2 linked regions of the Nothobranchius furzeri genome follow. The protein of the gene in region 1 interacts with the protein of each later gene in a pairwise test. Links are inferred from orthologs where the notes say so. Each region holds a gene or a part of one and is shown in the gene's direction. Other genes may lie near its edges.

The links. The genes of interacting proteins can lie anywhere in the genome.
Region 2: the proteins of hsd17b14 (region 1) and cyclin-dependent kinase 4 inhibitor D-like interact in binary tests that used the Homo sapiens proteins (3 or more experiments, as listed by UniProt). The two-hybrid records come from large-scale screens. The link is inferred for Nothobranchius furzeri from reciprocal best matches to the Homo sapiens genes HSD17B14 and CDKN2D.

The regions. Positions count from the first base shown.
Region 1 is NC_091745.1:6,244,319-6,248,191, forward strand, and holds the end of hsd17b14 (17-beta-hydroxysteroid dehydrogenase 14), read left to right. Parts: intron 1-407; coding exon 408-474; intron 475-553; coding exon 554-645; intron 646-1,261; coding exon 1,262-1,384; intron 1,385-1,459; coding exon 1,460-1,527; intron 1,528-1,877; coding exon 1,878-1,974; intron 1,975-2,243; coding exon 2,244-2,390; 3' UTR 2,391-2,760; downstream 2,761-3,873. Other genes in the region: bcat2 (branched-chain-amino-acid aminotransferase, mitochondrial), read left to right, coding at 2,995-3,012. UniProt on the Homo sapiens protein: Catalyzes the NAD(+)-dependent oxidation of L-fucose, yielding L-fucono-1,5-lactone, which rapidly converts spontaneously to L-fucone-1,4-lactone. Can also act on D-arabinose and L-galactose, with lower catalytic efficiency. Does not use NADPH.
Region 2 is NC_091747.1:71,357,666-71,362,231, forward strand, and holds cyclin-dependent kinase 4 inhibitor D-like, read left to right. Parts: upstream 1-1,968; 5' UTR 1,969-2,107; intron 2,108-2,423; 5' UTR 2,424-2,441; coding exon 2,442-2,582; intron 2,583-3,250; coding exon 3,251-3,607; 3' UTR 3,608-3,739; downstream 3,740-4,566. Other genes in the region: ap1m2 (AP-1 complex subunit mu-2), read left to right, coding at 440-598, 689-814, 1,082-1,157, 1,250-1,275. UniProt on the Homo sapiens protein: Interacts strongly with CDK4 and CDK6 and inhibits them.

The DNA.
Region 1 (3,873 bases):
CGTCTTTTCCGACAGTGCGAGCTATTTCTCTCCAAGAATTATTAACAACATGTTGATCACGGTGATCTCTGAGAGCTGAATCATACAAATGTCTGTATTTACGAACCTCTGCCATACTAGTTCTTGCCGGTCCGCCATGTTTTTCTGCGTCCGACCGTCTGCGTGGTTAGAAAATTTCCTAGGTGCGCGTTGCGGAAATTTTGGGCCGTGTGGAGGGGCGTGGTTGTTAAAATGACGCAAAATGACGCAACTTTTCCGCACGGAGCCGTACGGACCTCGCGGATGCGTCAAGCATAAACCAACCTTAAGAGCTGCAGCAACAGTGGGCCCCATGGTTTAACAGGAAATTGTTTAATGTGAACTTTTAGTTGTTATTCATATTAGTTTGTCCTTATTTGTCTCTTCAGATGTTGATCTCAGTCACTGTGCAGCTTTATGGACACATTGATTGCCTGGTCAACAACGCTGGCTGGCGTGAGTCGCCCTCTTGATTCTTGCAGACGTATTTGAGAATGAAGCTGCAGATTAATTTTTAGATCATCTTCATCCTCAGACCCTCCTCACAAAGCCACCGATGAAACAACAGCAGAGGAGTTCAGAGAGCTGCTGAATCTCAACCTCATCAGTTACTTCCTGGCTTCTAAAGTAAAGTTTTATACGTGCGTCAACAAATAATTTAGCAGGAATTTTTTTTACCTATGAATAGGAAAATAGTGTAAAAATATTATTTATTTTTCCTTAGAAAATATATCAGAGTTGAGAGCAAGAGAAAGGGGGAAAAGTTAAAAAATACAAAACATCTCAAGTGAATAGTTTATTTGGTCACGTCCTAAAACTTTGTGGGAATTTCATTTTAAAAAATGTACGATTTAAGGTCAAACTGTCTGATAATGGAGACGTTTGTTTTAAATAGAAGGCTTGAAATGATATTGGAGTTTAAAATCTGATTCATGAAATTTGGGAAAACAAAATTACATAAAAATAACAAAACTACAACTTGATAAAGGGAATGTGTCATCTCCAGAACTTGAATTATTAATAAAGTTTATTCAAACCTCAAACTTACAAAAAATCATGAGAAAAAGAATTTGACACATATGTGAAATTACGTTTTTCTCATTTTTATTTTATAAATAAAACCTACCCCCAATAACAGCTTAGATTTGTAACATTTGTGTAATAATATAGTTTTTATACTCCTGCGTTGTTGCAAAGACCTTCCCATCATGCTTGTGTGTGTGTGTGTGTGTGTTTGTGAAAGCTCTGGCTCTCTCTGCAGATTGCATTACCCTACCTGCGCCAGCATCAGGGAAACATTATTAATGTTTCCAGTCTTGTGGGCACAATTGGTCAGAAAGATGCTGCACCCTATGTTGCCACTAAAGTGAGTTAATAGATGCTAGAAGAATATTTTAAAAACCAGCAGAGCTGCTCTGTAATGTAACGTTTCCTCCACAAGGGAGCGATCATCGCCATGACCAAGGCCATGGCTGTGGATGAGAGTCGATGCAATGTGAGAGTGAACTGGTGAGGCAAACCTCTCTTTGATGTCACCAGTTAAATATCCAATAGGGTAATAATGTTATTTGCTAAAGAAGCCAAACAGTGAAATTTTACATTATTTTTAGATTTATGGCTTTTTGTGATTTCCTTGCTGCTTGAGGAATAATTAGCAACGGTTTCAGTAATCGTGATTCTCAAACTACATGTGAAATTAGAAAAAAATAAGTTAATGTGCAAAATTCTTTTCTGCTAGTAATTCAACTTAAAAGGTGAAACTAAAATGAGATATAGACTCAGTGCATGCAAAGCCAGACATTTCAAGCCTTTAGTTGTTATAACTGTGATGATTATGGCTTACAGCTGATTTGTTTCAGCATCTCTCCAGGTAACGTGATGACGCCGCTTTGGGAAGAACTTGCAGCACAGACGCCAGATGCTGCAGAGGCCATCAGAGTGGGAGAAAATGCTCAGGTTAGCTCAGGAAAGTAGCAAAAGCTTTTCATTAGGTACAGTTTTTGTGTCAAGAGCATGTAGCAGATGATTTTTGCTGATGCAGCAGAAGTTGCCTTGTGTTAATGTAACAAACAGCTGTACAAGACAGAATAGAGGAACAGAATGTTTCTTGATATCAAATTTGTACCAATTTTCCTTGTTTAACAGCAGTAGCTGTGTGAACAGCTGTTGATGGCAGAAGAAACTGCCTGGTACAACCAGTCACATGTGCTTTCTCCTCCCAACAGCTGATGGGTCGTATGGGAACAGAGGCTGAGTGTGGACTTGCTGCCTTGTATCTGGCTGCAGATGCCACTTTCTGCACCGGGATCGACCTGCTGCTCAGCGGAGGGGCAGAACTCAACTACGGCTTTAAGAGTCAGATCCTGTCCTGATCTTTCTGACCTCTACAGCATCGTGTGGCTTTTGAGCAGCTGGAAATTATTTTCAAACTGAAAAATCACCTGTTTACATACTAAAATCAACAGTAATGGCTCATAAAACAGGGAGGTTGGTGATGCAAAAAAATTAAGTGTCCCTTTATTTTATCTGCCTGGTTGAGTTTATGGGTTAGGGTTATGTTGGCATCCAGGCCAATTGTAACTAGACCTGCACCACCCTCCAATGCTAGACCAATCAGTATTAAACATATTTGACCTACAGTAACCTCTCTGCCTCTAGCCCAATCAGATGCCATGCATTTGGCACGCCTCTGTTAACTTCCTAGCTAAGACCATTCAACATTAATAAAGCCTTAAAAATTGACAGTCTCATTAACTTTGTCCCCCTTTTTACCCACTGGCATTCTTATACATATGGTGTAAATAGTTAAAATAAAAACAAGTACCAGTAACATATTGTTTATAAACCTGGTATGAGTATTTATGTGAGGTGCCTTGCTGTTTTCTGGCACCACAGCAGCTGGGCGGAACTAATGTTTAGTTTGTTTGTTTCCACACGAACGGATAATCTCGTTTTTATCAGCGCTACGTAGAAGAGATGGCTGCTCTCCGGACCGTGAGTTCATTCACTTATGTCTGTCTGGGGTTTATCTGTTTTGACTGATAACCTGGGTTAAAGATTAATTTGATTCATCGATAAATGTGTATCCAACCACAATATAAGATAACGTTCCCTGTTTATCACCTGGCATTACGCGCCTGCAGTCTATCCCGCTCGCTGGAAAAAGGAGAACCGAACCTGGAGTTGGAAATATTAATTTTAGTGTTCGGGGTCAAAATAACTGGCATTCGCGACCGCTGTAGGAACATTTTCATTATTTAAATGTTTGCGTAAAATTCGGCTGGCCTGCAATGTAGAATATTTATTTATTTTATAACATCATATCTAACGATTAAACTGTTTAATGGTGTTTTTTTTAGTTTTTTTTGTAAACGTGTCTAAATATAAAACACGTCGTTTTGATGCATGTTTAACTGAAGAGTTGTTTTGTGGCTACGCCGTGAACAAAATGTTCTAAATGTGTCATCCAAGTCTCCCACCTAGCTACAGTTAACACCAAATGAGTTTTTATTTCCGCGTTTGTTTATATTAATGACGTCAGACACGATGCATCGCTGACTTTGGGTTGTCCAGTTTTCTCAGTGTGTTGATCCTTTGGAAGGTGACACGTCATTCACGAAAACTACACGTTTTTGTCACAGTTGGATTATGTGCAACAGCACTGAAGACTTGCATCATCCATGTAACACACAGAGATCAGTGTGCAGATTTTACATGGATTTGTAATCTTGTTCGACATGTGACAGCCATGCTATTATAGCCCAGTCAGTCAAAACATTATGACCTGTTGTAGACCCCCTTTTGCTTCCAGAACAGCCATGCCTTGTTCAGACATGGACTTCTCTACAGATCTGC
Region 2 (4,566 bases), on another chromosome or scaffold:
GTAGGCGCCATTAGGTTTCGGCAGTGCTCTGCCTAGCTGTTAGCTCATCTGAACAGAGGCCATTCAGGAAGCTACATAAAAAGAAGACTGTAATTATGGATGACTTTTACACGGTTTTATTCATCAAAACGACCAGTGCTTAGAATAAGCATTGCAAATGCTGAGCTTAACTGTTGGAGCTGTTGAGTTTTCAAATTGTGCTAGCTAACATGTTACAGGTTAGCGTAGTGACTGGTTTTCACATTCCACACAGCCTCTATAAATCTCTGGGATTTCACCTGCAGGCCTGTTCTATGCAACATTTACAACATTACTTTGCTTAGTTCAGAGTTCTTTATAAACAAAAATGCATGAACATTACCAACACGGTTAACAAAACTGTTCCCATTCCACTCTCTCAAAAAATGTTCACAGGTAAACTTCTGCATTGTGTTTTTAGGCTAAAGGACAGTTTAAAAAACAGTCTGTGGCAAACAATGTGGAGGTGAGGGTCCCTGTCCCCAGCGATGCTGACTCGCCCAAGTTCAAAACCAGCACAGGCAATGCCAAATATGTTCCTGAGAAGAACCTGGTGGTGTGGACCATCAAGTCTTTTCCAGTAAGAGCCTTTTACATGGAATGAAGGGAACTTTTCCTCCTCTCTGTGTGTAGCCTACTTATTTATGTCTGTGTGGCTCCATCTGTGCAGGGAGGAAAAGAGTTTCTCATGAGAGCCCACTTTGGGTTGCCCAGTGTGGAGAACGATGAGGCGGAGGGCAAACCTCCCATCACGGTCAAATTTGAAATCCCCTACTTCACAGTCTCAGGAATTCAGGTATGTGTGTGTAGGCGCTACAGTCTAGTGCATCTGGAAGTGTTTGTTCTGGATCTTAACTTTGTTCAGGCGTGGTGTTGTTTGTCTACACACCTCTAAGCTGCTTGTTCTGCTCTCATGCCTCCCACTTCATAAACTAATGCAGTCAAGTCAGGTCCTGTTATGCTGAGTGGTTCACTGTGGAGAAACGCGTGCTAATTTGATTTAATGATGCACGCCTGTGTTCCTGCTTCAACACGCTTCATCTCAGTCATTCCTTTTGTCTAGGTCCGATACATGAAGATCATAGAGAAAAGTGGGTATCAGGCTTTACCATGGGTCCGCTATATCACACAGAGTGGAGGTACATTAGGGTTACACTTTTTCTAAAATATTCAAAAAAGAAAAGCAACCATAGCTTCTTTAATCTCTTGCATTTTCTCTATTTTTATTTAGATTACCAGCTGAGGACCAACGTGTAAAGCCTTCTGGATCTCCTACTGTTTTTTTTCACGTGTCCAGAAGGTCAAAATGAGCAAAATCATCACTTTACTGCACTGAAAGGTCTTTTAAACATCACCTGCTTTAACATTATTGCTTTAAAAGGTTTTATGGAATGTGTTTGCAGATTAAACTCAGTGTGTATTCTGTGATGCATCAACTTTATTTAAATTAAAATGAGCCCTGTGAAGCAAAAAATCATCAGTGGTTTTTTTCTTCCTGTTCTCGAGGGTTTTAAAGATTTTAGAATGTGTTCTAACACACACACACACACACACACACACACACACACACACACACACACACACACACACACACACACACACACACACACACACACACACACACACACACACACACACACACACACTCTGTAAATTCCGCCCAAAATTAAAACCCTGCACCCGCCTTTTTTACGCTGCTGAGGGAACCCACAGGATGAAAATCCGAATGAACTGCCCTTGGAGGACGCCAACGTATACGAATCGCCCGCTTTCTTCGCCTCGTGTCCTGATTGGTCAGCTGCCTCTGTTACTACAGCGATAGCGTAGTAACAGCAGCGCAGCCCCGCCTCTTTGACCATATTTGAAGGAATGACGTTGAGCAGGCGAGCTGTGATTGGTCAGTGTAGTCTCTCTCCAATGTTTGTAAATTGTAGACCGGGCACATAGCTGTTTGGATCTCAGCGCGCAAATGTCTAGTTTTAAGGTTGATAAACTTTCCACTTTTGAATCGTCTTTAAACGTAACCGCTCTGTAGGACCAGCAGGCTTTAAAACTCGGTGACGCGTCGGCTCTTGGCGAACTAAAGAAGGTAGGTTTGAAAGCTGTTGGACTGTTAGCTTTTAGCCAGGATGCTACTCGTTTGTAACATCTGATCAAAGTGAAATAAAACTATCGAGACGAGGAATGTTTAGTCGAACAGTGTTGTTAGGAAAACTTGGTTCAGTCGACCAAGTGTAACCACTGCATGTTTACAGGAGGTGTCAGCGGGGAGCTGCGGTACGTTAGCCGGATGCTGTAGTAACGTTAGCTAGGTGTAGCCGACTGCCGTGTCCCTGGCTCTTTGTTTTGATGAGACGCCGGTGGTTGTGGTTAGTTTTCTAACCTGGCCGTGTGTCTCACATCAGGCAGGAACAGAGACTATCATGGTGCTAAGTCAGATGGAGGCGGGGAAAGCGCTGACCGCGGCAGCAGCTAAAGGGAACACGGACGAGGTGCAGAGGATCCTGGAGGAATGCAGAGTGCATCCCGACACTGTCAATGAGTTCGGCCGGACCGCGCTGCAGGTGAGCGGCTCTCAATCCTCACGGGATTCCTGCAGGGGTGCCAGAACGGAGCTAAATATGTTCTCACGTTTCAGAAATAATCCCTCTGAAGGTTTAATGTCGAAGAGTAGATTATGCTACAGGAGATCTGTAATTTTAAATTAAACGACTTGTGATACTTGTCGGTCTGATCGAGCTCCATCACACATAGTGTAATGGTTCATTTACCTCCTCAGTAAGTCTGATGGTCACAAAGGACTCGGACCAAGTTGGAACAGAGAAACTGGGAGGGCAGTGACCCACCAGACTAGGATTAGGCAGTCTGATCAAGCTGTTTTCATGCAAGATTAAAAAAAAACTCAAACATTTTCAGCCAGTCACGCTCTTGCCTTCAGTTTAAGACATTAATAAAAAGTGATTTCATTTGGCAACCATGGACCACTATAAATCTTTTATTTCTGCTTCATATAAATTAATTGAGTGTGTTTTACTTTCATGCTAAATAAACTAGAAATAATTTCAGTTCCAGTAATTACAAATTAGTCTTGCTTATCCGCATGTTCTCTTAAGAGCTGTATGGAAAGGACCAATGTCTTTAGAAAATTGAGCTTTTATGATGACGAGGACATGTGGAAGTGACGAGTGACCAATGAGCCCTCATCATCTTCTTGTTTTTCTCTGTCCCACAGGTGATGATGATGGGGAACTCCAAAATAGCCAGTTTGCTGTTGGAAAAAGGAGCTGACCCCAACCTCCAGGACAGGCACGGCATCGCGCCCATCCACGACGCTGCCAGAACCGGGTTCCTCGACACCCTGCAGGTTCTGGTGGAGCACGGGGCTTCGGTGAACCTTCCCGACCACAATGGAGCGCTGCCCATTCACATCGCCATCCGAGAAGGCCACCGGGACGTGGTGAAGTTCCTGGCGCCGCGATCGGACCTGAAACACGCAAACACCAGCGGCCAGACGGCCGTAGACGCGGCCAGAGCTTCGTGTGTGCCGGATATGATGGACTCGCTTTTCGCTCACGTCCACAGTTCATAAGATTGATCTAAACTCAAACCTCACACTGTTTCGTTTTTGCTTTGAAACTTGAATATGTTGCTGTATGAAAGAATCGGAGTTATTGGTGGCTTAGCATTAATATGTGACACAGGACATATTGTCTTGGCAGCTTATTGTTGTGGATGGGTGGCTCTATACTGTAGACACCTTTTGCACAGTGCAGTTTAGGCACCTTAAATTTACATATATCTGTTTTCCCCATTACCGGGAGCGCACATTTGTAGATGGTTGTCCCAGTGTTATCTAATTGTTTTGATTGTGTAAGAGTTGTAGCAGTTCCTACTCGCGTGTTTCTTTTTAAAAACAAACCCTGATTGCTTTGCATAGTTGTTTCTCTTCATTAGATGAACTTAGACTTTCAATTCACTTATTATTTATTGTTGGAAAATGACTTAATATTCCCTTTGTGATGTAAATTGCAGCATTTTTTTTGTGATTTGTTGAAATGTTATTTATACAAATACTTTTAAGACAAAAGTGAGATTATTCACTTTAATATTTGCAGAAGAGAGCACAAAATAAAGTGATGAACTTGATGTCTTGTGTTTTTCTGAGCAAGTAAATACTTGTGGGGTTTGGTGTTGAAATAGAATCTAAATGGTTATAGGAGGTGGTTTTAACTCTGACGTGAGGTGAAACCTTTAAAAAAGTTTGTTAATAAAACTTCCTAACACATAGTTGTACAAGAAATGTCAGAATATATTTTAAGTAAAATATAGAGTAAAGTAAAGCAAGTGAACGGGCTATAAAAGCTACTTTCTAATCCACTTTACCGTACATCCTAAATCACACATACCGTAAATCCTCTAATACAGGCCCGGGCCTGTATTAGAGGATTTACGGTATGTTGTATATTAGTTTAAATTAAGAAAAATAAGTGAGTTTCGCCTTTGTCATGTACTTAAATATTTATTTAGCTAGTATAAATTCTTAATTAA